2 linked regions of the Stegostoma tigrinum genome follow. The protein of the gene in region 2 purifies or fractionates together with the protein of the main gene of each other region. This does not show direct contact. Links are inferred from orthologs where the notes say so. Each region holds a gene or a part of one and is shown on either strand. Other genes may lie near its edges. The genes, in order: abitram and pus10.

Evidence for each region.
Region 1: the proteins of pus10 (region 2) and abitram purify together in Homo sapiens (affinity purification with mass spectrometry; 3 studies listed by BioGRID and IntAct, counting the BioPlex papers as one, with this or other methods). This does not show direct contact. The link is inferred for Stegostoma tigrinum from reciprocal best matches to the Homo sapiens genes PUS10 and ABITRAM.

The regions. Positions count from the first base shown.
Region 1 is NC_081355.1:106,691,872-106,707,417, forward strand, and holds the start of abitram (protein Abitram), read right to left. Parts: upstream 8,133-15,546; 5' UTR 8,119-8,132; coding exon 8,043-8,118; intron 5,971-8,042; coding exon 5,919-5,970; intron 2,527-5,918; coding exon 2,397-2,526; intron 1-2,396. UniProt on the Homo sapiens protein: Actin-binding protein that regulates actin polymerization, filopodia dynamics and increases the branching of proximal dendrites of developing neurons.
Region 2 is NC_081362.1:41,432,200-41,447,849, reverse strand, and holds the start of pus10 (putative tRNA pseudouridine synthase Pus10), read right to left. Parts: upstream 6,467-15,650; 5' UTR 6,387-6,466; intron 6,380-6,386; exon of another isoform or gene 6,221-6,379; intron 2,505-6,220; 5' UTR 2,423-2,504; intron 1-2,422. Other genes in the region: pex13 (peroxisome biogenesis factor 13), read left to right, coding at 6,916-6,986. UniProt on the Homo sapiens protein: Protein with different functions depending on its subcellular location: involved in miRNA processing in the nucleus and acts as a tRNA pseudouridylate synthase in the cytoplasm.

The sequences.
Region 1 (15,546 bases), on a different chromosome or scaffold from region 2:
CACAGACCATATTCAATGAGCCTGTGCTTGCAAAACCTAGAATAAATGCATATTGTTCAATATGATGCCACAATTGGCAGCATTTGATGAATAATCCTTAGGATAACTATTAGGAACTCACAGCTCATAAGATAAAGTCAAGCTCACAGCCTAAGCTTCCCACAGTGGAATACATTCACAGCCAGGGACCCATGTTCTGCAAACAAAAGGAATGTGTTCGAGTCTTAACATTTTCAAAACCACACCAGAGCTTGGGAATTAAGTTGCCTGTTGGTGGTGCCATGGCAACACTCTAGCCAATCAATGCATTCTTTTTACGGTCATTCCCAAAATTAATAATAAACACTGAGCTGCAAATTTAATCAGTTGGTAACTGAGTAAAGTTTACATACTGGAACTTGTTTTTGGATAATTGACCAGAGCATCTGAATTCAATTTGCAAGAGACATCACCAAAATGAACGTCATAGTAATTAACTTGGCACATAGCCTGGAGGACTTGCAAGAAAAATGGCCCAAAATGAGAGAAAAAAAAAGTCTTCTTTAGAATAATGTCTTTTTGATTTTTAAAGAAAAATAATTTATGGGATGTGGGCATTCCTGGATGGGCCAGTGTTTATTGCACATCCATTGTTGCACTTGAGGTGGTTACGAAGAACTGCTTACTTGAACTGCTCCAGTGCTGTTGGTGAATCCACAATGCCATTAGGGAGAGAATTCCTGGATTTTGATCCAGCAACCATGAAGGAACTGCAATATATTTCCAAGTCAGGATAGTGAGTGGTTTTAAGGGGAACTTGCAGTGGCATTGCTCAAGAAATCTGGCATGTCCATACCATCCTCCACCTTCCACAGGCACATCATTGAAAGTTTGCTGTTCAGATGCATAATGGCCTGGTACAGCAACTGCTGGCCAGAACTGTAAGAAACTACAGAAAGTCATGTGCACAGCCCATAGCATTATGGAAGACAGCCTTCCATCCACAGACTTTATTTACACTGTTCACTGCTGTGGAAAGGCTGCCAATATAATCAAAAACCCTTCACACACACGCCAGTAATGATCTGCTATGACCTCTTCTGTCAGGCAGCAGATACAGAAACCTGAACACACTTGTGAGCATGATCAGGAACAGCTTCTTCCCAGCTATTATCAGACTGATGAATGGACTTTCTAGACTCAAATAATGCTGATCTTGCTAACGTTGATCTCGCCTACACATGCCCTGGGTGATGTAACCTGTATGCCTCTGTCTTTTTGATCTGTACATCCTTTGCTTACTATGCTCTGCATGTATTGCTCGTAAACAAAGCTTTTCACTGTATTTCAGTACATGTTGACAATTTGTCATTTGTCTGTTGCCCTGGTCTCTCTAGACGAAAGTGGTTGTGGGTTTGGAAGATGTTAAAAATTTCTGCAGTGCATTTTGTCAACGGTAAACACTGGTGGTGGTGGAGGGACTGAATGCTTGTAAGTGTGCTGTCATTCAAGCAGGCTAATTTTCCTGGACAGTATCAAGCCTTTTGAGTGTTGTTGGAGGCACACTCATTCAGGAAAGTGGGGCGTCCTCCCCAAACTCCTGACTTGTGCCCAGATGAGATAATAATAATCTTTTGGAGTCTGCAAGTAATATTAAATGTGAAATTACAGCAAATTTCAGAAAACGTATTCACAAAGATTGGGTCTTCCAAGAAATTTAATAACAAACTGAAAATGCTACATGAAATATCCAGTTCAGTTTAAGGATACAATTGTATAATATAGAAACATGGGGTGAAAAAGAGAGCACACTTTGGAGAATGGATGTGCTTTACAACATTTACAAATCAAAATTGGCTTACGGATTATTGCAATAAAACAAATCAATGGAACCATCACTGTACGACAACTAAAGCTACATAGTATGAAAATAATTTGATAAGACACATGTATCAGCTTCAGCTCCTTTACAAAAATACAAGTTTTCAAACAAACATCTAAAATAAAACTCCATCAGAATCACAAACAGAAACAAGAGGCGTGTGATGTGTGACATGTACAGATCCAAGTTACTTAGGATTAACTGAAATTTTTTTGATAAGTCTTCATTTTGCTCCCATGTATACTTTCCAAAATCTTTAGGTCTTAGATCTAGAAACATAGGAGATCACTGACAAAGCATATTTTTTAAAAAAATCCTGCTGAAACCCACGACTGAAATGGCAGACCATTTTTTTAAAAAATGGTGACGATGGATGTAAATAACATTCCAAGAAATAAAATGTTTCAATATCATTTATTCAAAAGCACACACTTACAACAACACTGCCTGTCATTCTATCACTTCTACGTCTGAGGTCATGGCTAAGGGATTGAGAGGGAAGGAATTCAAATAAATAAAAAAAGATCAAACATACCCGTTTAGATTTTCCTGAAACCTTGTTTTGTAGTCGACTACAATTGGCACTGATCTGGTAGCTTATATTTTTTATTTCTTTCCCACTCTGTAACAGAGGGTGAGATTCTGCCAGTGTGATGACACATATCCTGTCATAATCAAGAGTGGCATGAATTAGAGCTCAAAAGCAGATAAAAAGAACAGCCTACATACTTCCAATGCTAGAATAAGTGCTATATTCTATATGTCAGGAGTCCAACAACAATATTTAGTCAGACATAGTAGGAACTGCAGATGCTGGAAAATCTGAGATACCAAGGTATAAAGTTGGATGAACACAGCAGGCCAAGCAGCAAAGGAGCAGAAAGGCTGAAGTTTTGGGCCTAGACCAATCTTCAGACCCACATCTGAAGAAGGGTCTAGGCCCGAAACGTCAGCATTCCAACGCCTCTGATGCTGCTGGGCCTGCTGTGTTCATCCAGCTCTGCACCATATTTAGTCATGTGGATTATCATGTGCCAATTACTATGGTTCTAAAGCTATCATTAGTGATCACTTACATATATTGGCATGGTTAAGATGGATCAGTAATAACAAGATAACTAAATTGCCCTTTCAAGAACATAAATCAAAAGTCAACTTCCATTTAATTAGCATCAAATCATTTCTTTGGAATGATAAAAACTACACTAATTTTGAAGTGTAGTCATTACTATTATTTACTTTTGATGTACAGTTATTACTGGTATTTGGTAAAAGAAACATTTACATTTGACAAGGTCCTACAAAAATTATGAATTGTTTTCTAGTTAATGGATTACCCTTATTGGGTTGGTTAAGAGTAAAGTGTTAGCCAGAACATTAGTAAACAAAACTATTCTTTGTAATGCTGTATGAGTAATATGGCAGGCCATTAAACTCGGTCCACTTCAGTGATAATGTTAAGACCCTGGAGAGAAATTTAAATCCAATAACTTGTACTAGTGAGTCAACCTTGAACTACATTTTTAAATTTAAGGATGAAAACTCAGTGTAAAATTAATTACTTGTGTTTTCTTAGACTATTGTTATGTAGGATTAATTTCCCTTATACAGAGACTTAATGTAAAAAAAACGATTCTCACTTAGCACAAATGCTAGGTATTTCATAATATGAGCTAATGGTCTAACTGCATGCTTTGGAACCCAGTTTTAATTCTTTACATCAGATTTCATAAATACATTTAAAAGTATTACATATACAAATACAAAAGGAAAATGTATTTAGCCCATTCTGTCTAAATTGCTCCTCAATTTACCTATTGTCAAACAACTACATACGTTAGCTCAGATCACAGGAAATCACTGCTACTTGTATCTTTGTGTTATTCAGTTAAATTAGTAATTCCAATAATTTGATTCAGACTGAGGTGCAACAGCTATTTCTAATAAAAGAAATCAGTATCTCTGGAACACACACCTCCTGCATGAAATTAAAATAATGCATACCAACAAGATGACATTTCAAAAGAAGCCGTTTACTGTCAACTGTGATGGCTTATGAAGTATTCTCCTTAAATGTGGCTGCCCTGTGAAGATCAAAGGCAGCTACAATCACTGCAGCAACCCTCTTTTACATCTTTCTCATTCCAATACCAACTCAGCTTCACCCTTCTGAAAAGGACCCAGTACCCAGTTTTGAACCATTTATTTACTCCACATGATAGCAAGAAACAGCTGAATGAAGGCACTGCATGCTGTAAAGGCTGACAACGTTCTAGCAACAGTACTGAAAACGTGCTCGAGGACTAGAAGTGCCATTTAACAAGATGTTTCAATACAGCTGTAACACAGGCATCTATCCAGCAAGTGTGGCACACTGCCTAGGGCACTAACAAGACCATTAAAGACAAATCAGCCTGCTTAGTTTACAATCCATCCACCACCCTAAGCACTTACGTACTCCACCACTGCACATTGGCTGTACAATAAACCATCTAAAAAAATAGACAACAGGAATTCCCCAAGCCTCCTCTGACACTAACTTCCAAACTTGTGCCGTCTTACTACCTAGTTGGACGAAGCAGCAAATACATGGTAGCAGCACCACTTACAAATCTCCCTCCAGGAGCACAATTCAGCCTGACTTAAAACCATACTGCTATTCCTCCACTGTTACTGGCTCAAAATCCTGGAACTCCTTAGCTAATAGCACTGTGAGGATCTCTACATTCAAAGGACTGCAGCATTGTAGCAATTTAGGAAAGCAGCTCACAACCATCTTCCCCAGAGCAATTAGGAATGGACAATAAATGTAGGCCTAGTAAGTGATGGCCACAACCCATTAATATTCTTTTCCTAAATAAGACTGCCCAAAGGCATGGAGAGGGTCTACAGAACAGAGCGGAAGCTGTTCGACCTACACCATCTGCAATCCTAAACCAAAATCACTTCAGTCACTGAATTCAGTACACAGGTCTGCATTGAGAAAATAAGTTTCAGCTCACTGCCAACATATAAGCAACAGGCTAGGCACTGAACACCCTGAAAACTAAGGTCCTCTCCCAAATGACTTCCACAGCACTAACCACTTAATCTATATATGTGTACCTTTAACAATGCAAAATTAGACAATGGAACTGTTTGGATGTCATTGTGTTGAAGAGGCTTTGTGATTTCTTGGAAGTGAGAAGTTAAAAAAGTTAAAACAGAAGACCCACAAGGGTAGCTTACTGGAGGATACAAACCAAGACTTTTAAGACAGACAAGAGATTGTCAAGCCATTAAGTCTATAAAAGAAAACCAACTTAGAAAAATCCTAGGATCCATGCTACTATTGCTTAACAACAATCCTGAATGAAAATCAGCTGAAGAGACCTCAGTGAAGACTTTTTTTTTGATTCCCAGAAAAGAAAGAAATTCACACAAATCAGTGTTTCTGAATCCTTAAATTCTGAAAGCTGAACTGCAAAGTCCTAAAACCTACATTTAACTGACCTTCCACCCAAACTAAGGATCCCCCATTGCTCTGCATTTGATAGCAGCAATTTAATTTCTTTGGTTCCTGGTCAGACATTATAAACACAGGAAGAGAAAGGGACAGGAAGATTGGGATCCAGGAGAAAATGAGAGGGGTAGGGTGATGAGAGGCCAGCAGATGGGGTGACGAGGCCTGCTACCCTTTGGCTGTCCTTGTGCACACACAAAACTTCTCCCCCAGCTCCCAGATCCTCTTTCTCTTCTCCCTCTAGGAATTCCCCATCGTATCCCTCTTCACACCACCAAATATCGTGTCTTGTCTCCGCCTTCATACCACTAAAGCCCACTTCAAAAGCATGTGCACTTGCCTGTGTATGCGCAGTAATGCATTTACACATGACATTACACAAAGTGCAGGTGATGTCAGGGCTTGGAACTGTGCATCGCCCAATGACTGCACATGTGTGGTTGCCTGCAGCTGTCATTATCAGCAATGATAATTAGTGATGATGGTAAGATGACAACGTACAATATTGCACTATTCTTTATGAAGTTGCAATAGCAATACATCATATACACCCACCTATTAGAATGGTGTAAGATACAATGATCTTCACACGGTTTCCCTTTAACATCTGGAACAAAGAAAAAAACTCGTCAAAAATTGCAAAGCTGTTTTTTTAAAAATGCCTCATAGCAGTACATAGTGCAAAGTTATTATATTCTATTGTCTTTATTTAAATTACATCTTCCTATTAAATTCACTCATTTTATAACCTACATGCCCTGTGTCCTCGTGTCTTCCCATCACCCCCACACATTACTTTTTCTCCCCTCATCAAAATCTGAACTTATTCACAAACTTGACCTTCCAGTTCTTGATTCACCAAGGTTTCTTAGACAGCATCTTCCAAACCAGTGACCACTATCATTTAGAAGAACAAGAGCAACAGATACATGGAAACACCACCATGCAAGTTCCCCTCCAGTGTGGCACAAGGATCGGTCCTGGGTCTACTGCTTTTCATCATTTATGAAAACGATTTGGATGTGAACATTGGAGGCGTAGTTAGGAAGTTTGTAGAAAACACCAAAATTGGTGGTGTAGTGGACAGCAAAGAAGTGGCAGATGGAGCTTAATTTAGATAAATGGGAGGTACTGCATTTTGGAAAGTCCAATCAGGGCAGGACTTATACACATTATGGTAAGGCCCTGGGGAATGTTGCCAGGATTGGATGGCTTGAGCTATGGGCAGAGGCTGAATAGGCTGGGTCTATTATCCTCAGAGCGTCATAGGCTGAGTTTTATAAAATCATAGCTAGTCATCTATTCGTGCCCCTAAGGTCCTCTCGCTGGTTGGGGGAAGTCCAGAACTAGAGGGCATAGGTTTAAGGTGAAAGAGGAAAGATTTAAAAAGGGGCCTAAAGGTCAACCTTTTCACACAGAGGGTGCTGCATGTATGAAATGAGCTGCCAGAGGAAGTGGGGGAAGGCTGGTACAATAACAACATTCAAGAGGCATCTGGATGGGTATAAGAGAAAGAAGGATTTAAGAAGAATAGGGGCAAAAAGTTGGCAAATGGCACTAGATTAATTTAGGACATCTGGTCAGACAAGTTGGACAGAAGGGTATGTTTCCACACTGTACATCTCTGCCTCTACAACACACCAATGCTCAATGTAACTGAAACACATCAACCCTTCATGTTCAATTACTCAATAGATGACAGCATTCTATTAGCCTTCTTGATTCTGTCACACCTACATACTAACCTGTTACTTAGGCACAAAGACATCCAAATCCCTTTGCACCACAGAATTCCAAAGCTGCTCTCTTTTTGAGATTTACTGCTTTTTCTTATTCTTCCAGTCAAAAGCTCACAACTGCACTTTTCCCATCTTATACACAGCCAGATTTTTCCTTACTCACCCTATCCATATACATTTACAAGATTGAAATTTCACAGATTTAGTGTTTACATTCTTGGGACATCCAAAAAGCTTCCGAGGCAATGTCAAGTCACAATACATTGAGACTCAAGATACTGAGTTACAATGTTTTGAAGCAGTTAGAATTATTTTCCCTCAAATTTGATGTGAGTCTGCACTATCCACCTCTGTGAAAATTCCATAGAGGCAGGCTGAATAAGGAAACCTTATGCATTTTAATCAAGTTATTTTCTACTAACCATTTCATCATAACATAAATAATAGGAAGAAAACAGCAGCTGCCCATCAACAGAGTCCATATAGTCTGGCAGTTTTGCCACACCATCTCAAAATTAAAAATCTCATCAGATACAATGGAATTCTTACAATCAGAGCTGAACTTTGGGCTGAGTTTAGGCTGTGTTCCCATAGAAATCCAGACTATTCCCCTGAATTTCTGCGAAAGGAAACCTAATCCCCACCTTCTAGCCTTTTAGATAGGATTATGGTTTATTGTCTTCTCGTCCCCAATTTGGAAACCAGTGTCAGTCTGGTGCTCGCAAATTCAGGCTGGGGTCTTAACCGCTCCCGCTGAATACGGCGCCCGTTCTTCGGTCGGAGCCAATTCCACCGCCCGGGTGTTGGGGCCTTCCGTCGGGGTTGGCGGAAATCTCCCCCACCCAGGACAAGGCTCCATCAGCAGCAGCACCTCGGCCGAGGCTCCGCAGTGACAGAGGCACCCACCCTGCCTTGTACCAGCAGTGACAGAGCCACCTACCTGTCTTATACCAGCGACGAAAGTAGCGATCCACCATTGAGGGATAGGTCTGAGCCTGCGCCTCCTCCACCTCCATCACGCCGGAAGTCAGTACCGTCTCCTAGCAACACAACGGAAGTGCCTGTTGGATTCTTGATGCTATGTGTTTGTTCCAGTTCCAGGCGCTTGGTTATGTTTGGTACTTCACAACTAATTGCTGTGCAAAAAATCAAAACTTTTATACTGTTCTGTAGGGGGGAATCTCGGAATCGAACTGTGCTTCAAATGCTGCCGGACCCGCTCAGTTTTTCCGGTATTTTCTGTTGTTGTTAATGAAGGATGCTTGCTACATTTCACTTTTGGCAGGTAGCTATAATGTATAAGTTCACCATGCAGTCTCCTGGGGGAACTGCAACAAATGTAGCGGATAAACCGTCCGATTCTAAAGGTGTGATTATTTGAATCTGCTGATAACGAAAAGACACTGCAGCTTCTGGGCCTAGAAAAGTTGCACTGAACGCGGAGAAGTATTTTATGTCAGTCACTCAGAGATGCACAGCACGGAAAGAGACCTTTCGGTCCATCTTGTCTGTGCTAACCAGGCCAGAGCCCATTCTGCTCTTTCAGAACAGAAAATAAAGCTACCGTGACTTGATTTCTATTTGACAAAGGAATTACTCTGGGGAGAAACAAAAACAAATACACAAGCAAAAAATGGCTCTACCTTGACTCTGTCCCCACCAACCACTTTTGGGCAGGAACCACAGGGGACCAAAGTAAAATAAACAAAAGCAAAATCAAAGAAAGCAAATAATCAAATAAACAAATAACCAATTACATAAATAAATCCGCTGTGCTTTGTCCCCAGTGAGCACTCCTGGGACAGGGACAACAATGGTTTAAAAATGGTGGGCGGCAGGGTGGCTCATTGGTTAGCACTGCAGCCTCACAGTGCCAGGGACCTGGGTTCGATTCCAGCCTTGGGTAACTGTCTGTGTGGGTTTCCTCCCACAGTCCAAAGATGTGCAGGCTAGGTGGATTGGCCATGCTAAGTTGCCTGTAGTTGTTTAGGGGTTGGGCCTGGGTCGGATGCTTCAAGGGGCAGTGTGGACTTGTTGGGCTGAAGGGCCTGTTTCCACACTGTAGGGAATCTAATCTAAAATCCAGAGGATGTTCCCTTGCTCATTTCAAATAAAGATAAAATTCCCCTCAGACTGATCCCCATCAAGCACATCTGGAACAGGGCCAGTACAGAGCTAAAACAGAAGCTTTGGCTCTTCCAAGGGGTTCAAAATCGGAACAGATTAAAAATAAGACAGTTCTCTTCCCTGGGCACCAAACCATAAACAAATGCAAACACAAAATGGAGACTTACACAATTAACTAAATCAGAATATCATCATTCAGGCCTATAATGCACTCCAGGCCCCATGGCGCCCAGCAGTCTCAACCATGCCGGTGAGCACAACGCACAACGCACTACCTCTCCAGGAATGCCCCAGCATGGGTGTAACCACAAAAGGGGTCAAACAGTAGGAACAATGAGCCCCTTTTAAGTCTGTTGCCTGGACTTAGTTGATGGCCATCTTGGCCAGGCCCAGAAGCAAAGCCACAAGAAGGCTCATCCACGTGTCTGCCACTCCCTCTGCTTGATGCCCATTGATCAGGAGTGTGAGGTTGAAATGCAACCAAATTTTAACAGCAGATCCTTAAAGAAACTAAAACTGGGCTGCTGATGTATGCACTTGATATAAATGTGCAACACTGCCTCCTTCAGGCCACAGAACATGCATGTGGACTGGCACCTGGTAAACTTACACATTTGCCGGTAGCACCGGACCGCCAATGTGCAGCACTCTCCGCCCCGCATCTCTGATGTGAGAGTGGAAGACACCTTTATAGAGGGCCCTCCATTGGAGATCTCTACCACCGGAGGGCAAAAGATTATGCCAAGGCGAGCCTGGGCGGCAGATGAAGGCACAGCAATGAAGAGTGTGCAGCATCAACTTGTACAAATAATGCCTCTGTGCTGTCTAAAAGGCCATCAGACGGACATTGCTGAGATGGCTCAGACTGTGGGACACAAAGTCATGGGGGAGGGTCCGCAGCACGGGGCCAGTGTCAAGTTCAGGATGGACAGGGGTCAATTTGTCCAGAAGCCCAATGCACGCCTGAGGAGCTGCAAGTGTACACGAGGTGTCATGGCCGAGTGCCTTGTCCATCAGGCTCCAGATGGCTTGGGTCACAAACCAGAGATGGATTGATGCCCTTACAGTCAACGATGCTGATGTTACTCAGCCCGCTCCTTTGCCATCCAGCGCGTGCCCTGACTCTGGTTCGCCCTGAATCCTGAACTCTCTCCTACCTTGGCCAGTGCAAGTCGCGCTCGAGGAGGAAACCTCCTGTGCAGCAGCTTCCCAACGAGACCCGCCACTGCTGTAGCAGGAGAACTCCAGCACAAGCCAACCGTGCCCCACACGATTGATCAGGTTCAGATTGAAGGCAGGCAACTCCTGGAAGAAGACCCGAGGCTGGGACCACTCCACGGACAGCAACTGCATGTTGTAATGGAGGCCACACACCTGATGGAAAAATGTATGTCATCAGGGCACACTATCTTGGAGGGAGCAGAACGTAAAGGTATTGCTGCAAGATGTGAAGGTAGAAAGTCGCTCCCTGGACGCGAAGGCAAACAAGCACCTGACCACCTTCCTCAAGCGGGAAACTTAGGACCGTAGCAGCGAGCCAGTGTTGCCTCTTGTCCTTGGAAAACTTGATGAGCTATTTCTGGACAAAGCCAGGCAGAGGGACCAAAGTGACCAGCCAGTACCACAACACAGTGGCCATCAGCTGGCTTATGACCAGCACTTGTACCCTGTCCTGTCCAGCGTGTGAGGTGAGTGGTCACCTTGGTCTCCAATTCATGCCAGTTTACTGGCGAGGATTCCTCATGAGAACAAAGGCAGATTCCTAGGTAGAGGAGGTGAGTGGTACTCCATGTGAAGCACCGGAGCTCCTCCGGCAAAATGTCCATCTGCCAGGGACTGATCAGAACTCCTGATTTGCTCCAGTTGATCATTGCAGAGAACACCAGAGACCTCCTGGCACTTGTGCATCCTCCAGGTCAGCTGGGCCTGTGAACAGAAGGAGCACATCATTGACATATGCCAAAAGAACCACCTCTTGCCCTGGCCCATGCAGAGCCAAACCCAAATGCTGCTTACGTAGGAGGTGGAGGAACAGCTCCAGGCAGTAAGAATAAAGCTGGCGGGACAGGGGGCAGCCTTGACGCAATCCTTTCCCAAAGCACAGGAGCACCATCAGGGATCCAGTAACCTTCACTAGGCACTCCATGGTAGCGTGCAGAAGTCAGATCTAGGCAGCAGAGTGCATTCCGAACCTGAATATTCACAGAGTTCCAAGCAGATACTTGTGATCCACTCTATCGAATGCCTTTTCCCGATCAAGAGAGAGAACAGTGCTCGACAGGCCAGCCCTCTGTGAATAATGGATCACATCCTGGATCAGATGGATGTTGCTGGGGACACTCCGCCCTAGGACACTTTAGGACTGATCCGAATGGATCATGTGATCTAGCACAGTGCCACAGCGAGTTAAAAATACCCTGGCAAAGATTTTGTAGCTCGTGCTGAGGAGAGAGACCAGATGCCAATACAAACAAACAGTGATCCCCTTTCTTAGGCACAGTGATGGCGGCCTTGCGCCCAGAAAGACACATTTCTCTGGTTGCGATTCATTCCTCCAGGATCGGCATGTAGTTGCCTCTCTTCACCCCCAGCATGTCCCAGAATGCCCTGAAAAACTCTGCAATCAGCCCGTCCAGCCCTGGGGACTTGCCCCAGGAATGACCATCGAGGGCATCGGTCAGCTCCTTCACACTCAGAGGGGCATCAAGCCTCTCGGGACCCTTGGGGCTGACCTGTGGTAAGTCCTCCCACAAAACTTTGCAAGCTTCCTTGCTGGATCTGGAGAGAAGAGGACCCCGTAATCATCTGTCACTTGGCCCTGATGCCCACTGGATCCAAGAAGAGGGATCCATCGCCGACTAGCAGCACAAAGAGCTGCTGACAGACTCCGTGCCTTTTCACCGGCAAGTAAAAGAAGGCGAAGCCATGGTCAAGATTCCGAAGGATGTGGACCCACAATCTCCCGTATGGACCCCGGGACCCAGTAAGATGCACATCCTGGAGTGTCTCCATTTTCTTTTCCCACAGGGTCGGGTCCACATCAGGCTGACCGAGATCTGACTCCAGGTTGAGCATCTCCTTCTCCAAACCCCTTGATTTTATCCGTTCCTTCATCAACCCTGACATGTACTGCTGACAGATGGCACAGATGTGTGTCTTGTCACATCCCACTGTAGCCTCAAGGAGGGGAAGCCCAGCACTTCTTTCTCCATAGCCTGTCCAGAAGTGATGAAATGAGTCCCAGAACTGCCTGTCCTCCAGCAGTTATTAAATAGTTGTTAAAGTGCCATTATGCCGAGCTTGCCCTGATGCCGAACGGAACACGTTCAGCCCAGAAAAAGTCGTGAACGGAAAATGGCACTTGCCGCATGGAGGCCTTCAGAACACAGGAGGCCTATGCCCTGGAAATGTAGAGGTGGTCATTTCTGGACACACTGATGAAAGCAATGGAATCGGGATGAAGACTTTGCCAGACATCCACTGAGTCAAAGGTCTTAACTAAGTTCCCCAACTTCCCCAGTAATACTGAACTCTTCTGGGTACTGCCATGGTCCCACCTCTCAAGGGGACAGTTGAAATCTCCCCTGAAAAAGATTACTTCACCCTCACCAATGGAGCGAAGGGTAGTAGACTCTCCCTCGAAGAAGCACATCTGCTCAGGTCCCATCCAAGGCATGTATACATTTGTGAAGTGAAGCACCATGCTTCTGAAACGAACCATGAGTTACGGGAGGCCACCTGGCTCATGCTCCTTGACCCTCAAGATCTCTGGCTGGTAAAAAGGGCCAATAAGATAGCCACCCCACCATAATCAGAGGCCAGATGATTCATGAAGACCCTTCCCCACCACTCCACAAGCCACATATCTTTGTCTCCTGAGACCGTATGGGTTTCCTGCAGGATGCTCACTACATCCTTTCATTCCCTGAGGAGCAAAAAATATGAAATCTCAGCTGGGCCTTCCCACTGCCGTTGACGTTGAGGCTAGCTCTGGCTGTCTTCATGGCTGCAGTATGTGCCATCACCACCAGTTAGAACAATGAAGACCAACTTACTGAGCAGGCGGAGGGACTCCTTTCTCCCTTGCACCCTGAGGGCGCAGTAAAGGAGTCCTTTGCACCAGTGCTTCGCATTCTTGTCCATTCCCAGGGCTGCCAATTGCTGCTGGGCAGACATGCCCAGAAGTGGTAGAGAATTCCACCGATCCATAGCCAACTGAACTCTATCTCAGTGACCAAGCACAGCTTGCAAAATGTCCTGGAGTTCCCCATTGGGGATGAGGGGGACCTCGTCCACAAGCACCACATCATTCTCTGCCTCATCTACCTCGGCAGTGCTTTTGACCAATGCTCAGTCCTCCTCCAGGCCATCACGTCCTACTCTGGCTCCTCCCCCACATCAAATGCAGGGGGTAACCAGGATCACCTGTCAGACACATCCCATGCCTCAGCCCCACCCCCAAGCCTAACAGTTGGAGCATCCTTTGCAGGGAGATCCAAGTCTCGGGTTATGCCAGACTCAACTAAAAGGTTGACTGAAATGTCGGACCCCTGGGTGGCAGCGGTTCAGAAACCTGCTCTACTCCCAGCGCCGTGTCACCATCTGTATCTGGGAAATGATCTTCACTTGGGGCAGAGGTGCCCGACATAAAAGCCTGGGTGGAGGCAAGGAGGCCTGCTGCTTTGTAGCTGCCATCCAGGGTGCCCTCAGGGTAACTAATCCCACCGCAGTCCCCTGCCAGCACAGGCAGCACTTTTAGGCCTTCCAGTTCCTGTGGTATGGACAAGACCTCAGCGGCCATGCTCACCTCAGCCTCTGAGATGCCTGGCCCAGTTGAGGTGGACTGCAGAGGCGGGTTCATGTCCCCCTCCCCTAGCAAGGAGGGAAGAGGGACTTCCAGGGGATGCTACTCCCTCCTTCCCAAGGGGCATTTGTTGTTAGTGCTGGGCCCTGAGGAGTGGCACCTTTATCGGGAGAATGCAGGAGTGAGAGACGCCTCCATTTCTCCACTGTCCTGATGCCCCCTTCCTTGAAAATGTTGTCTGTTTCACCTCGCCCCCACGCGTTTCAGGGCATGCAGGGGGCTGGGGGATCTGGGGACACCATCTGCTCATTCGTACTTCTTTTCACTGACAGGCAATAGGTGAGGCTCCAGATCCTACTGTCTCCTGACAGGCCTGGGCCTGCTATCCTGTGAGAGGGATCCCTCTCCAGGCTGGGAGCTGACAGCCTCAGGGTTACCCAGGGAATCCTCCCAGGAGGTTGCCCCTGACCACCCTACTGGTGCCCAGAACGAGGTACCTCCCTCTTGCAGGGACCGAGGGGGCATGGAGGCATCAAGAGGTGATGGGTGGTGATGCCAACTGCAGCCCATGTAGGTGTTGGCAGCAGCCTTCGAGGCAGGGCAGTTCCTCTGGAGGTGCCCCACCGCCTTGCAGGCATGACACCGCACACTGTCTGCTGACCAGAACACCTGGGTAAGCAGCACTTTTGTGCTCAACCGTGAAAGTACCCTCCGTGACCTCCTCCCAGGCCAGGCAGGCAAAAACCTGTCACTATAAGGAGTAAATATGTCTCAGGCAAGTCTCCTTCAGTCTGAGTAGTTAGGGGCACCACGCCCAACCTCACCTCCCCAGGCTGGCCAAAATGGGAGAGAAGGAGCTCAGATGGGAGTGACGTTCAATAAAATAACCTTCTAAGAAACTACTTCCAGAGGGTCGACAGGCAAGAGCTTCCCACCAACAGTAAGCCCCTTCCCCAGGGCAAGGTGCCCCGCCTGCTCAGTCTTCAGGAACAACACTACCTTTCCATACACCTTCGGTGCAGCAACAATGGTGGGGGCACCAAGTACCCCCGCCAAAATTACTGCACATATCTCAATGTTCATGTCCTACCCCAGATGTTTTAGAGTGCCTCGCTGTCACCATCGCATCCCCCCCCCCCCCCCTCCCTCCCGCACCGCCCCAACCCACGCCTCCCAAACCAGGACTACTACAGCCTCTCACAAAAGTCGCAGAAAAAGAGCCTGACAGTGACTTGTTCGGCCTCACCAGTCAGCACAGTCCTTTAGGCTGCCATGTCCCAACACACAAGTCCCAGACAATAGTTCCCAAAGCCCAAAGGCAAGATCATACAGGCCACACTCTGGAAGTAGTAACAGGGAGAGGGCCCAGGCTCCTAACATGTAAAGGTGTACGCAGCTGCTGCAGCTCAGTCAGGTTTTCCTCTGTGATAGGAAAGCCTTTACAAATGATATCCTGGGATTTAATCAACTTGGATAAATGTAATTAAAGGAAGCAAACATGAACTTGTTAAAG
Region 2 (15,650 bases):
TTTTCACCAATGCCCCAGCCTTTTCAGACAACCAGGGATACAGCAGATGATGTATGATGTTGTATTTTCCAATTCTTTACAAAAGAGCTGGAATTCTTCATTTGGGTACTGAAGATCATTATTGGTCATCCTAGTCTCAGCAGCGGTGGTTCAAATCAACTGGTCCATCTCCCAGGAGTCAGAATCGGTGTCTAGCATGACAAGGTAATCAGCTCCTGTGAGTGCGAACAGATCTATTCCTAGCTACATCCATGGTCTATCTGGGATGTCATGCATCATCAGGGGCTCTCTATCTAGCTTAGATCAGTACTCATTATGAGAACTACACTAACTGATGTGGCCCTTGATTTTATTACTCACATTTGGCCAGGACAGCAAATCTCTTGTCTCGCTCAGGCTGGAATCAATTTCTTGCAGTTTGCATTGATGCACTTCAGCATCTCTCTTAACTCCTTCGGAATAAGAAATATTTCCTTTGTACAATATGCAACTTCAAGCTGTCAATTCATCTGTGTGCCCAATATACTTTTGAGACATAGGAGTGTCCTTGATGCTTTCAGGCCATCCTGTCATCTCGATTTCTTGCAACACTTGCAGATTTAAGTAAGGCATTTAAACACTCAGCATCATTGCTGGGGGCCCCTTTGTGATGCAGTGGTAGTGTCCCTTCCCCTGAACTGAGGAGCCCAGGTTCGAGTCCCATCTGCTCCAGAGGCGTATAAATAACATCTCTGAACAGGTTGATTCAGAAAAATAGATTCAATGTCTTTGCTGAGCTGATGACTTCCAGAACAGACTTCATATAACATTGTGAAATCTTCTAAATCCACTCTCTCACATCATCCTCTACATTAGTCATAAAAAGGAGATCTGCCGTCTGCAGCTTGGTCAGTGATGTACATCTGTTTCCTTTGCTTGTATGTCACATTCACATAGTATCTCTGTGACCAGGCTAACATGTTATGCAGATACTCTGAAGTAAATAGTAGTGCCTTGTGCAAAATAGTTTGAAGCAGTTTGTGGCTAGATTCAAACTCATCTTGTCTCTTCCAATTAGGTGTTAATGAAAATGATCACGAGCAAAGGTAGTCACCCAGGCAACATCTTGATCTGAGCATATATTCATTTTGTTTGCATAAATGCACTGGATCCAAATACAGCTTGTTGTCCTTGTTACACGAGGGATACGCCAAGCCCTGTCCTGCTGGCATCACACTGTGGGCTGCCTTCGTCATGTATATAACACTTTGTCAACTCCATTACCTTGTTAGTTGCTTGATCTTGATGACTGCTGCTTGTTTTGGGCCCCAATGCCATTGTACAACAAAACAAGAGAACTGATCAATGACTTCAGAAAGGAAGGAGAAAGACACGCCACTATCTACATCAATGGTGCAGAGGTGGACAGCGTCAAGTTCGTAGGAGTAACAATAACCAACAATCTGTCCTGCACCTCCCTCATGGATCTGACAGTCAAGGCAGCAGTATAATGCCTTTCCTTCTTCAGATGGCTCTGGAAATCCGACAAGTCCATAAGAACCTCACCAACTTTTACAGTTGCACCACAAAAAGCATTCTATCTGGGTGCATAATGGCTTGTATGGCAACTGCTCTGCCCAGGCCTAGAAAAAGCTACAGGAAGTTGTGTACACAGCCCAGATCACCATGAAAACAAACCTCCCATCCAAGGACTCCATCTACACGTCACGTTGCCACAGAAATGCTGCCAATGCCATCCAAGATTCCTCCCACCCCAGTAATACTGTCTTCAAACCTCTTCCGTCAGACAGAAGATACAGATACACGTTCAAGGATAACTTCTTCTCTGCTGTTATTTGATCACTAAGTGGACTTTTCTAATTTCAAATCTAATATTGATCTTGCTTTAACACATCTTCTGTGCAGACGTATCTGTGTGCCTCACTCTATCCAAATACCCTATGATCTATATGTTCTTGAGTATTATGATCTGCTTGAAATGCTCGCAAAACAAAAAACTTTTCACCGTACTTGAGTACACGTGACAACAATAAAACAAATCAAATCAAAGTAAGTTCTTCTCTCAGCATGAGTGTGGTGCCATCATACAGCCTCGACTTTACTTTTGAGAGCTTCACTTTTCAACTTAAGAGAATCATTGAGTTGTCATTTCACACAAGCCTCTCAAGTTCATGATGCGCCATTGTGTATCTCACACTGCAGAATCACTTGTTATTCTCCTTCTGCAGTCATCATCCCAATAGTTACAAACCATTAATCATACACTGACAAATGAACTAACATGTTCAATGGTTTAGAGTGATTCTTCAGAATTCTATGCAGATATCTCTCCAGCGGCCATCTGCACCTGCTCATTCTACTTCTTTCTAATCAAACACTTCCACAAAATCATTTTGCTTCCTGTAGAAAGAACACTACGTACCTCAAATTGGATATGCCTTATTTTGCTTTGTGTGATGTAGTTGCAACTTGCTCTTTACCTCTGCTCTCTCTTCCTGGAATACCTGTCAAGACAATACCCAAAAGGCCTAGTTTGTTCTGTCATAAATATGCTCTTGGTGTTGATTTAAACACTCCACATTTCTGTACATGTTAATCACTTTCCAGAAAGGAGAAACATATCTTGACTCAATTACATAATCATCATAGAATCATACTATCCCTGCGGTGTGGAAACAAGCCATTTGGCCCAACAATTCCACAGTGGCCCTCCAAAGAGTATTCCACCCAGACCCATTCCCCTACCCCTGCATTTCCCATGGATAATCCACCTAACGTACACACCTCTGGACACTATGGGCAATTTAGCATGGCCAATCCACCTACCCTGCACATCTTTTGACTGAGAGGAAACCCGGACACCTGGAGGAAACACAGACAGACACAGGGAGAATGTGCAAACTCCACCCAGGTCCCTAGAGTTGTGAGGCAGCAGTGCTAACCACTGAGCCACTGTACCGCCCTGTTTTCTCAATTCACAAGACTCAAGAGTGTCATTCTGCAGCCACCTATTTAATCAATGGACACTTTTAGACATAGGCCTTAATGCTGAATATATTGATCATCAATTGAGGTTCATGGTGTAACTTCAGGTTTTCAAAATTTCTGCTCTCTAATATTTTTTGTTCTTTAGAGAGGTTTAGGTTAGAATATAATTCACAAGTCTCTCCATAGAGATAAAAAAAACGGAGATACTTGTAGCTGCTTTGGCTTGTAAATTAAATCTGCTGCAATTTTTTAATTTTGCAAGCAAATGAAAAAAAGCTGTCAGATTTGCTTCATATTATATTTCGTTTTAACTGATACCAGGAGAGTAAAGATGCAGCATGGTGCCTCATCCAGTGCCTTCTAACGTGATTCCCTTCTTTGTTCTTTTTCCGTAGCTTCCTGTTGTTTTTCGCAGCTTTGAACATTTCTGTGCTCCTTGGCTTGTAGTAAGAGTCTTTATTGAACTGAACTGATTACCTCTATAAGTGTCTCATGGTGGATATCACAGGACTACAGCAAGTCAGGAGGCACGATAGTGCAGTATTACGCTTTCATTCTAAACCTGTGTCAAACAGTCACTCTGAACTCCTCTTACAACTGACCGTAATGAGTTGATATCTCAACATCCTGACTACTGTTTTTGAAGTGTTTAATTACTAATGCAATCTCATTAACATAAAGTGTTTTTCTGCAAATGCTCAATAACACGTATTGTGCAATGAGGCAGACTTGACGAGGGAGCTTAAGGTAAAGGAACCCTGAGGAGGCAGAGATCATAAGATGATAGAATTTACACTGCAATTTGAGAGAGAGAGAGAAGATAGAATCAGAGCTAATGGTATTACAGCTGAATAAAGATGACTACAGAGGTATGAGGGAGGACCTGGGCAGAATTGGCTAGAAGAGGAGCCTCGCAGGAAAGACAGTGGAATAAGCACTGGCAGAAGTTTCTGGGAGTACTTCAGGAGATACAGCAAAAATTCATCCCTAGGAAAAAGAAGCATGGTACAGGGAGGATGAGGCAACTATGGCTGACTAAGGAAGTCAGGGATAGCATAAAAACAAAAGAAAGAGAAAGCATATAATGTCAAGAAGGGCAGTGGGAAATCGGAGGACTGGGAAGCTTACAAAGATGAACAGGGGGCAACAACAAAAAAAAAACTAAGGAGGGAAAAGATTAAATGTGAGGGCAGGCTAGCCAGTAATATAAATGAAGACTGTAAGATTTTCTTAGGTATACAAAGGGCAAAAGAGAAACAAAAGTGGACACTGAACCACTGAAAAATGACAGTGGAGAGATAGTAGTGGGAAACAAGGAAATGGCTGAGAAACTGAATTACTTCACATCAGTCTTCATGGTAGAAGACACCAGTAATATCCTAAAAATTCAAGAGTCAGGAGACAGCCTCCATATTCAGCTCCATCACCAAGGAAAAGGCGCTAGAAAAACTGACTGGCCTGAAGGTGGATAAATCACCTGGACCAGATGGGCTACACCCCAGAGTTCTAAAGGAGATAGCTGAAGAGATAGTGGAAGTGTTAGTGGTGATCTTTCAGGAATCACGAGAGTCAGGGAGGGTCACAGAGGACTGGAAAAAATCACTAACGTGACCCTGTTTAAAAGGGGAGTAAGGCAAAAGACGGAAAATTACAGTCCGATTAGCCTAAACTCAGTCGTGGGTAAAATTTGGAGTCCATTGTCAAGGATGAGATTTCTGAATATTTGGAATTATATAGTAAAATAGGGCAAAGTCAGCATGGTTTCATCAAAGGGAGATCATACCTGACACATCTGCCAGAATTCTTTGAGGAAGTAACAAGCAGGGTAGACCAAGGAGAACCAATGGATGCTATCTACCCGGACTTCAAGAAGACCTTTGATAAGGTGCCACACAGGAGACTGCTAAGTAAGATAAGGGCCCACGATTTTAGAGGCAAGGTGCTAGCATGAATAGAAGATTAGCTGTCTGGTAGAAAGCAGGGATTGGGGATAAAGGGGTCTTTCTTGGGATGGCAGCCGGTGACTAGTGATGTTCCGCAGGGGTTGGTGCTGGGACCACAACTCTTCAGTTTGTACTTTAAATGATCTAGATGAAGGAACTGTGGGCATTCTGGCTAAGTTTGCAGATGTTACAAAGATAGGTGGAGGGACAGGTAGTATTGAGGAGGTGGGGAGACTGCAGAAGGTCTTGGACACGTTAGGAGAGTGGACAAGGAAGTGGTAGATGGAGTACAACGTGGGAAAGTGAGAGGTCATACGCTTTGGTAAGAACAACAAAAGCATGGACTATTTTCTAAAATGAGGAGAAAATTCAGAAGTCTGAAGTGCAAAGAGATTTGGGAGTTCTAGTCCAGAAGTCTCTCAAGGTAAACTTGCAGGGTGAGTCAGTAGTCAGGAAGGTAAATGCAATGTTGGCATTTATTTTGACAGGACTTGAATGTAAAAGCAGGGATGAATTACCAAGGTTTTAAAAGGCACCGGCTAGGCCACTTTTTGTGTATTGTGTGCAGTTTTGGGCCCCACGTCTCAGGAAGGATGTACTGGCCCTGGAGCGGGTTCAGAGGAGGTTCACACGAATGGAAAGCTTAACATATAAAGGAACATTTGAGGACTCTGGGACTACACTCATTGGAGTTTAGAAGGATGGGGAATCTAATTGAAACTGTCAAAATACTGAATAGCCTGGACAAGGTGGATGTTGGGAAGATGCTTCCATTTGTAGGAGAGTCTAGGACCCAAGGGCACAGCCTTAGAGTAAAGCGAAGATCTTTTAAAGTAGAGACAAGGAGAAACTTCTTCAGCCAGAGAGTGGTGAATCTATGGAATTCACTGCCACAGAAGGCTGTGGAGACCAGGTCATTGAGTACATTTAAGACTGAGATAGATAAGTTCTGGTTTATCAAGGGATATGGGGAGAAAGCAGGAGAATAGGATGGAGGAACTTATCAGCCATGATTGAATGGCACAGCAGACTTGATGGGCCGAATGACCTAATTTCTGCTCCTTCATCTTATGAAGGGTAATTGAAGAATTGGTAGGAGGAACAAAATGAACATATATACGACAATGCAAAAAAAAAAGACCAGACAAGATACAGAAAAATCAATTCTACATACAAGAATCAAAATTTTTCTACAGTAAAAGAAACGACTTCAGATTAAACAACCTGTTTTAAACGACTATTGAAAAGTCTATAAAAATAACAAGCACTGCAAGACACCACAGACTTACATCTTCCTGCACATGCCTTAGGAGACTTTGCAATTATTTAACTAGCGTTAAATCTTTTCTTTCATAAAGAAAAGACTGATATAGGTAAACTATAATGTATTCAGTCAAATGACTTGGTCCTCAGAACAAACAAAAGTTAAATATAGCGATACATCAGTAAACTCACAAGTCCACAGCCACAGTCCAATGCCGGAAGTGATTACAGACAGACGCAGAGACTGCTTTCTGACTTGCTGCAAGTTCATGACTCCGAGTTCGAATCTATCCCGAGAGCCCATTGGTTAGTGCTTCAGCGCATGTCTCTGTCCTATTGGCTACTGTGCCGAGCTGTGTGTATCCCTGTTTTCTATTGGCTGCAGTGTTTGACAGGATGCATTTCCATGTTGTATTGGTTGTTATGCCTGTCCGATGTATCAATGTATTCTATTGGGTACTACCGTCCGTCTTGCCGTATCACCCTTTTTTGTTGGCTGCAGTGTTTGTCTGGTTGTATCCACTTATCCTATTGGGTATAATGTCTTTCCGGATATATCCCTGTGTCTTATTGGCTATTATTGTCTTGTCTGGATGTATCCTCTTCTTCTGTTGGCCGCTGTGTCTGTCCGGATGTCACCCTCTGTCCTATTTGCTATTTCTGATGGGAGTGAAGCTGAGGGGCCGAGAGGTCATTCCGAGCGTATGTTTTTCTGAAGATTATGGGGTCGCAGCCGCCAGCGAAACCCTGGGAAAGACGGATCCCGGGAAACCTGAGTGCCCCCTCTTTCCAGTAAGTGTTATTCGGTGATCATGATGTGCACGGCCGTGGCTCGGTGTGAAGCCTTAATGGCATTTCCGCTTAAGAAAAAAACCCACAGTGAACTCTTAAAATATCATCGTCTTTCGAACCGAATCCGATTTCAAAATCATAACAGCGGCACTTGCCAAGTGGAGTGTGGCAGGTGTCTGTGATGTGATTGAGCAAGTTGGATAGAGGTTTAGAGAATTATTCGAAATGCTAACGAGTTGTTCCCAGCATTTCTTCATTTTAAGCTTTTTTTTCAGAAGTCACCGCGCTAAATGTACTCCGTAAAGTTTAAAAGTAACAAACATTCAACATTTCGGAGGGAACATCAATGGCTAGGCCCAGTGTGGGGTGACTTCACCCGACATTGCCACCGCTTGTTGTGCTCCAAACCCCCGAAAAGCTGCAAATTCCTCTTCTGCTCTGAACAGTAGGATTGTAAAGTTAGTCAACCTTTTAATGCGGTGTAATTTGTGATGGATACGAATTTTATAAGGTGCTCCGATAATGAAACCAATATGCTTCGGGAGTAATCAGTTCCCACTGGGCTTTTTGTTGAATGAAGGTTGGAAGCAACATTGAGCAATGAAATCGACATTCGGGAATTGCAACATAACTATATAGAGAGTCAGAAATTTCTATACTACAGAAACTGTTCAGCTACAAAAACATTAATAACAAAATCATAATCTTGGATTTAGCAATATTTCGATGGTTTAAATGTCTGTCCTTTTAGTATTGAATTTTGGACGAGCTGTGTGACAATTTAGATACTGGAGGTGCGAGTGAAGTTGACCTGGATGCCATTAGTGCACACGTGAAAGCTAATGCATGAATAGAAGTTGACAAAGTGAAAAGTTATCCATCTAGACTGTTGAAGTCATTTTAAAAGTCCTGAATCTCAGAATGTTAACAAGCAGAACAGCAAGTAACATATGTAGGGAAATGGTGTATCGCTATTTATTACAAAGGGCTTGGAATTTTAGAGTAAAGGTATCTCACCTCAGTTATACGGGGGTATATCTGGAAAACTGTGAGCAGTTTTAGTTTGAGGAAAGTGTGTCTTGTCAGTGTGTCATAGTTAGAATGTATCAGAAGTTTAATAGATTGCTTTCCGTGATGAGGAATTGTCCTATGAGAAGAGATTAACAGAAGTAGACCTTTATTCCCTGGCATTTAAAGGAATTAGATCTGATGAAATAGAAACACAAATCATTCTTAATGAGCTTGCCAGGATGGATGCAGAGAAAAGAATGCCCCTGGCAGGGGAGGGCAGTGCTTTTACACAGACAGTGGTGTAGGCATGGAATGAACTGCTGTGCGAGTTGGTGAAGGTGAGTACAATTACACCAGTTAAAGTGTACATGGATAGGTAAATGAATAGGAATGGTTTAGAGGGACATGGGCCAAATGCTGGTAAAAAAACTGGGACCAGATCAGTTATGATGTCTGGTTGCACAGACGACTTGGACCAAAAGGTCTGTTTCCGTCCTCTATAACTGTATGATTCAATAACTTAGCAGTGAAATGAGAAATTTCTTCTTTCAACGGACAGCGATGCCATCCCAGGTAGCTGCAGACAATTGTTGACTATATTCAAAACAGTGAGTAGATATTTAGGTGCTAAAGGAATTGGGGTACGCTAGGTAGTGTCGAAAGGTGGAGCGAGATCATAGATAAACTATAATCGTATTGCATAGCTCAGAGGGAAAGTGCCTATTCTTGCACTTTGTGCTTTTGAATGATATCCCAAGAAGCAGTGTGTTTATGAGAACTAGAAGAGGGCTAAGGATAAATGCTTGAGGAACAACAGAGCTAATGGTCCAAGAACAGTAATAGTCACATGTGACTCTTTGGTTATGAACGGATTGACAAAGAAGGAATTTGCCCAGTGTGTAGTAGTATACTATTTGACTGCAATGGTGGTCACTGATTATAAAGATTGTGTTGATGGGATAAGATTGATCCTGAGGGATTATATTTGTGGGGCGGTATGGTGACACAGTGGTTAGCACTGCTGCCTCACAGCGCCAGGAACACGGGTTCAATTCCACCCTCTGCCCACTGTCTGTTTGGAGTTTGCACATTCTCCTCGTGTCTGTGTGGGTTTCCTCCCGGTGGTCCAGTTTCCTCCGGTCGATTGGTAATGTTAAATTGTCCGTAGTGTTCAGAGATTTGTAGATTAGGTGGGTTAGAGTGGATTGGGTTTGGGTGGGTGCTTTGAGAGTCGGTGTGGATTGTTGGGCCTAAGGGGTTGTTTTCCACACTGTAGGGATTATATTATTCTGTGATATGATTTCTCTTTCATAGTATGCTGTATAAGTTGAAGGAAGAAAAGAGAAAGTAGGATTGGTATGAACTGTATGGGGGATAGCTACTGTTCTTTGCAGTCAGGAGTATAAGCTTTAGAGGCTGGGTTGCCTGCCCTTTGCCAGGATTAAGCTCATCGGGGACAGGAAAGGAACCTTGAACAGCAAGGGCATTGATCCAATTATTGTGGTCCACGTAGGCATCGTCATCATAGGTAGGAACATGGAAGTTTAGCAGCCATTGGCTAATTTAAAATCAACTACAAATACAGTAAGCTCTAGATTACTAACTCAATCACAAACAAACTGGCACAGGGTCACTGATCAGGGGATTGAATGTAGGACTCCAGAAATTGTTGTGGGAAAGATGGGTTTCAATTGATAAAACACTGGCACAATACTTTAGCTTTTCCACTGGGATAGGCTTCATGTGAACCATGCTTGGACCAGTGCCTTTATACATTGAATACCTGGGGCTGTAGAAATGCGTGGATGGATAGAAAATCAAATGGGTGTGTTTGATTGAGAGTAGAATTTCAGGAATCAGAAGGATTGTTAAGTTGAATTAGATAGAGAAAGATAGTTAAGTACCAGCATTGGAAACAAATATCCAATGGTGGTGTCTTGGCAATGATTGATGGGAAGATGGAGATTAAAATCATGAGTGATTTTAAAAAAAAAAACAAGTTGGGTCGATTTTTCTGTATAATGACACAAAGTAAGATGGTGGTAGTTCTTGGAGGTTAGTCATCTCAGTTTCGGGTCATCACTGCCGCAGTTCCTCAGAGCAGTGTCATAGGCCCACAGATCAGCTGATTCATCAGTGACCTCTCCTTCTTCATTAGGTCGTCTGTGATGATTACACAATGTACCCTCCATAACTCCTCGCATACTGAAGCAGAGCATGTCCAAATGCAACAAGACATGGTCAGTATCCAGGCTTCGGCTGAAAACTAGCAAATAACATTTGCGCGAGACAAATGCCAGGCAGTGACCATTTCCAATCTATCACTGTCTGTTGGTTTTCAGTGGTGTACCTATCACAATGTCGTTACTATCAAAATCCAGCTGGTTAGCAATGACCAGAAACTGAACTAGACTTGTCATGCAAATACTGTGGCCAAAAGAGCAGGTCAGAGGCAAGGAATGCCACAGTAAGTAAGTTGTTCCTGATTCCCCAAAGTCCTGTTGACCATCTTCTTGGCACAAGCCAGGAATGTAACTGTATGCTCCTGACTTGCCTGGATGAGTGTAGCTTGACAACACCCAGGACAAAACAGTCTGCTTGTTTGGCACCATGTCCATGACCATTCAGTCACACCGCCAGCAATGCTCAGTAGCCATAGTGTGTACGATCAACTAAATGCATTGCAGAAATTCAACATGGGTCCTTAGACAGCACCTTCCAAACCCACAACCGCTACCATCTGACAGGACAAGGACAGCAGATACATGGGAACATCACCATAAGATACAGGAAAATAATTACTCCATTCAGCCCATCAAGTCTGCTCTGCCATTCCATCATGGTTGATTATGTTTCTCAACTCAATTCTCCCAGTAACCTTTGATCTCCTAACTAATCGAGAACCTATCTAACTCTGTCTTAAATACATTCAACCATGCGGCCTCTACAGCCCTCTGTAGCAATGAAACCATAGATTCACCACCCTCTGGCTGAAGAAATGCCTCCTCATGGCATTGTACTGTCACAGTAGCTCAGTTCTAAAGGGTCATCCCTTCACTCTGAGGCTGTGCTGTCGGGTCCAAGTTTCTCCTACTAGTGGAAACGTCTTTTCCATAGCCACTCTATCCAGTCCTCTCAGCATTACATTGGTCTAAATCAGATACATAAACCCCCCCCCCCCCCGCCCATCCTTCTAAACTCAAGTACAGACCTAGATCCTTAAACACTCTTCATATGAAAACCCTTCATTCTAGGATCAATTTTGTAAACCTCCTCTGGACCATCCCCAAGGCCAGCACATCCTTCCTAAACTGCTCACAAATTTCCAAACTTGGTCTGTCAAGAGCTTTGTACAAGAGTCTGAGCAGAATTGGCTAAGGAGGACAGAAAATAAGTTAGAAAGTAAGATGGTAGTGAGCATTTAAGGAAGCTATTCATAATGCTCGACAAACATATATTCCAATGAGAGAGAGAAACTCCACATGACAGATGGCTAACTGGAGAAGTAAGGATGCAATTAAAAGAAAAATAATACCATGTTGCAATGATCCGGGGTAGACCAGAAGATTGAGAAAAGTTTACAAATCCGGTAAAAGATGTTTTCTTTTTACAAAGATAAAATAAATTGAGAATAAACTAGCTTGAGACAGGAAACATACACTAATAGATTCTGTGTATACAAAGTGGAAGTGGATAGCTGAAGTAAATGTTGATGTCTTAGGCAAGACTGGAGAATTTAAAAAAGCACCCAGAAAATGCAAGAGACTTCAAAGAAATATATTCTACCTGCATTTGCTGCAGAGGGAATAAAAGTATTGAATTAATGCAGAGGTATCGCTGATGGTGTTTATCTAGTACTCTTGTGTACTGCTGATCATAGTCCAGTTCTCACTGCAGAACATTAGTGTGGTGACAGTAGCTGCTGTGCATTCTAAGACCTATTTTGACTTCGGCAGGTCTTTGTTATCAAACGCTCACCACGGTTTGTAAAAGGCTAAGCTGATGTAGCTGACCCAGTGTGGGATCTTTTCATCAATGGTTGCCTTTTGAGAGGGGTGGCTGTCACATTATGGGAAATGCTTAATATATTTCAGTGACTGCCCTTCAATGTGTATGGGAGGTAGAATATTTTGCTGACCAGTTGAGAGTTGATATTAGTTTTGTTTTGGCAAAGTTCAAGGGCCAGTCAAATTTCTTGGTTGTAGAATTGCAAATTTTGATGCAGAATAGGCAGCAACGTTGCAGTCATCTGCAAAGTATAAATTGTGTATGATTATGATGGTTAGTTTAGTTTTGGCACAGAGACAACTTTGGTACAGAGATTTTAAGAGATTTCTGTCCAGGCAATATTTAATATTGACATTGGAATGCAGTTTATCTGTGAGTATCTACTGTTAGGCATATTATAGATCGTATGAGAGGTAACATACAGCCTTGCTTGACTCCAGTTAGGATTTTGAAAGCATCTGTTTCAGATCTTCCCCTTAAGGTAGTTAGTTATATTCACATCATCATGATCATTGCAGGATTGTGATTTTTTTTTGGACATTCTGATCCATAGAACCTCACAATTTACTGTGTTAGATAGTTTGGTCTGGTCAGTGAATGCAACAAAGAGTTCCTGGTGCTATTCTCAACATCTTTCTTGGGTTTGTCTGATAAGAAAGACCATGTCAGGGGTTCCTTTACAAGTTTTCAAGCCACCCTATATCTCTGCAAGGATTTTGTCTGCCACAGGAAGTATGTCATTCAGGAGAATCCATGTCAGGATTTTCCCTGCTCCAGACAAATGGAAATAACCCTACAGTTTCACAACATGATTCATTTTCCTTATTATAGGTAGCCATAAATGTTGCATTCGTGAAGTTGTGGGGAGATGAGGCGAGAGAATTATTTGTTTTTCTCTGCCGGACCATAGAATGAGCATATGGAATCTTGATGTGAACGTAAGCCCAGCAGCTTTGAAGGCCTCAGTGGGAGTACCTCTGGAGCCACAGGCTTTGTTGCTTTTCATTCTTTGGATAACCTGTTGTAGCTCTTCCATTGGTGACTGAGCCATGGATTCTAACACATGGTATTGGCAGGTAGCTTGAAGGTTATTAATATCTGCTGTGGATTCACAGTTCAGCAGTTGTTTTAAGTGAAGATTAATGGGTTTGTCATTCTTGAGAAGAGACCAAAAAGCATTTTGTCAATTTTAGATTACAAATTTTCGTATTTATCAATGGTCCTGGTGGGTTCAAAAAGAGCTTTGCAGGTAATGATATTCAGCAAACTGTTGAGGATCTTGCATACCTTTTCTTCCTACCACAAGTCATTGAGCTTCCAAATATGTCTTCGGGCATAACCTTTGAGATGTTAGATTACTGACTTGTGATATTTTAATGTTCTTCCAGGCGATAAAGGTTGCTCATTTTTCAAGCTCTTTATTTGAATTTTTGCAGCATTTTTAACAAGATACATGAACTGATGCCTCAAGTGGAAATAAATATCACATACAATATGATAGTCATCCCAGAGATATGTCTGTGTTATTTTTGTATCTGCGGACTGGTAGAAGATGATGTATGCTGTAATGATGCCGCACTGAGTGCATTTGTCAGCAGGAGATTACTGTTTATTTTGGCTAATCCTAATCCATTTTTTCCAATCGTCTTGCTACAGACTTTGAAGTCACAGTCAACCTTTAAAAAAATCCCCAGAAGGATGATTCTTGTTTTTGCTTTTGAAATGGTATTGAGGACTTCATCAAGATTCACTGAGGCAAGGATTAGGGTATAAATAATGCTGACAGTGACATATTGATTATGGCTGAGCTGGATATCATAAATCTTTCAATAATCCATTTGGCAGTCTGTCAGTGCTGCCAACATCCAATTCCAGATGGCAAAACCATGCTCCTACGAGGAGTTCGAACAGTTCATCCACTTCACCAACACCTTCCACACCAACCTTAAATTCACCTGGACCATCTCTGATACCTCTCCCTCATTCCTGCACCTCTCTGTTTTCATCTCTGGCAATGACCTGGAAACTGATATCCATTTCAAGCCCACCAACTCCCACAGCTACCTAGAATACACCTCCTCCCACCCACCTTGCTTCAAAAATGCCATCCCCCCCTTCCCAATTCCTTCACCTCCGCTGCATCTGCTCCCAGGATGAGGCATTCCACTCCTGTACATCTCAGATGTCCTTGTTTTTCCAGGACTGCAAACCCCGCCCCCTCCCCCCCACCAAATTTGGTCAAGAATGCCCTCGACCATGTCTCCCACATTTCCTGCTACTCATCCCTCACACCCCCTCCCCGCAATAACAACCAAAACAGAATCCCTCTCATTCTCACGTACCACCCCACTAACCTTCAGATCCAACGCATCATCCTCTGACACTTCTGCCATCTGCAATCCGACCCCACCACCAAAGACATTTTTCCCTCCCCACCGTTATCTGCTTTCTGGAGGGCTACTTTCTCCGTGACTCCCTTGTCCGCTCCACACTCCCCTCCAGCCCCACCACACCCGACACTTTTCCCTGCAACTGCAGGAAGTGCTACAACTGCCCCTACATCTCCTCCCTCACCCCCATCCCAGGCCCCAAGAAGACTTTCCACATCGAGCAGATGTTCACCTGCACATCTGCTAATGTGGTATACTGTATCCGCTGTTCCCGTTGTGGCCTCCTCTACATTGGGAAAATCAAGCAGAGGCTTGGGGACCGCGTTGCAGAACACCTACGATTGGTTCATACTAAACAACTGCACCTCCCAGTCGCCAACCATTTCAACTCCTCCTCCCATTCCTCAGATGACATGTTCATCCTGGACCTCCTGCATTGCCACAACGATGCTACCTGAAGGTTGCAGGAACAGCAACTCATATTCCGCTTGCCCAATGGTGTCAATGTGGACTTCATAAGCGTCAAAATCTCCCCTCCCCCTACTGCATCCCAAAACCAGTCCAGCTTGTTCCCACCTCCCTAACCTGTCCTTCCTCCCACCTATCCCCTCCTCCCACCTCAAGCCCCACCCCCATCTCCTACCTACTAACTGCATCCTGCCCCCTTGACCTCTCCGACCTCCCTGGACTGACCTAGCTCCTCCCCAACTCCTCACCTACACTCACCTTTACTGGCTCCATCTTCGCCTCTTTGACCTGTCAGCCTCCTCTCCACCTATCCTCTCCTCTATCCCACTTTTATCTGCCTCCCCCTCTCTCCCTATTTATTTGAGATCCCCCTTCCCCTCCCCCATTTCTGAAGAAGGGTCTAGACCCGAAATGTCAGCCTTCCTGCTCCTCTGATGCTGCTTGGCCTGCTGTGTTCATCCAGCTCCACACCGCGTTATTTCACGTACATGAGGGCTGGTTGCGGTCTTTCCTGTCCTTTAGAAGGTGTATGCCCCTGCTTGTTCCTTCTGTATAACCATTTATAAAACCTGACCTCCAAAAATTTTCCTGTCAATCTTGGAGACTAACAGTTTGTCCATTGTGAAAACAGCTGTATCGGTAACTATTTAGAGGTGTGAACATCCTGCATTTTTTTTCTCAGTTCAACAATTTGTGCCCCCATCTTCAATCTTTAACAACCAAGCATCTTTAGCTTGTTGTCAGTCACGATTAAGAACAAGACAATTGACCCCTTCATTTCTCCAGT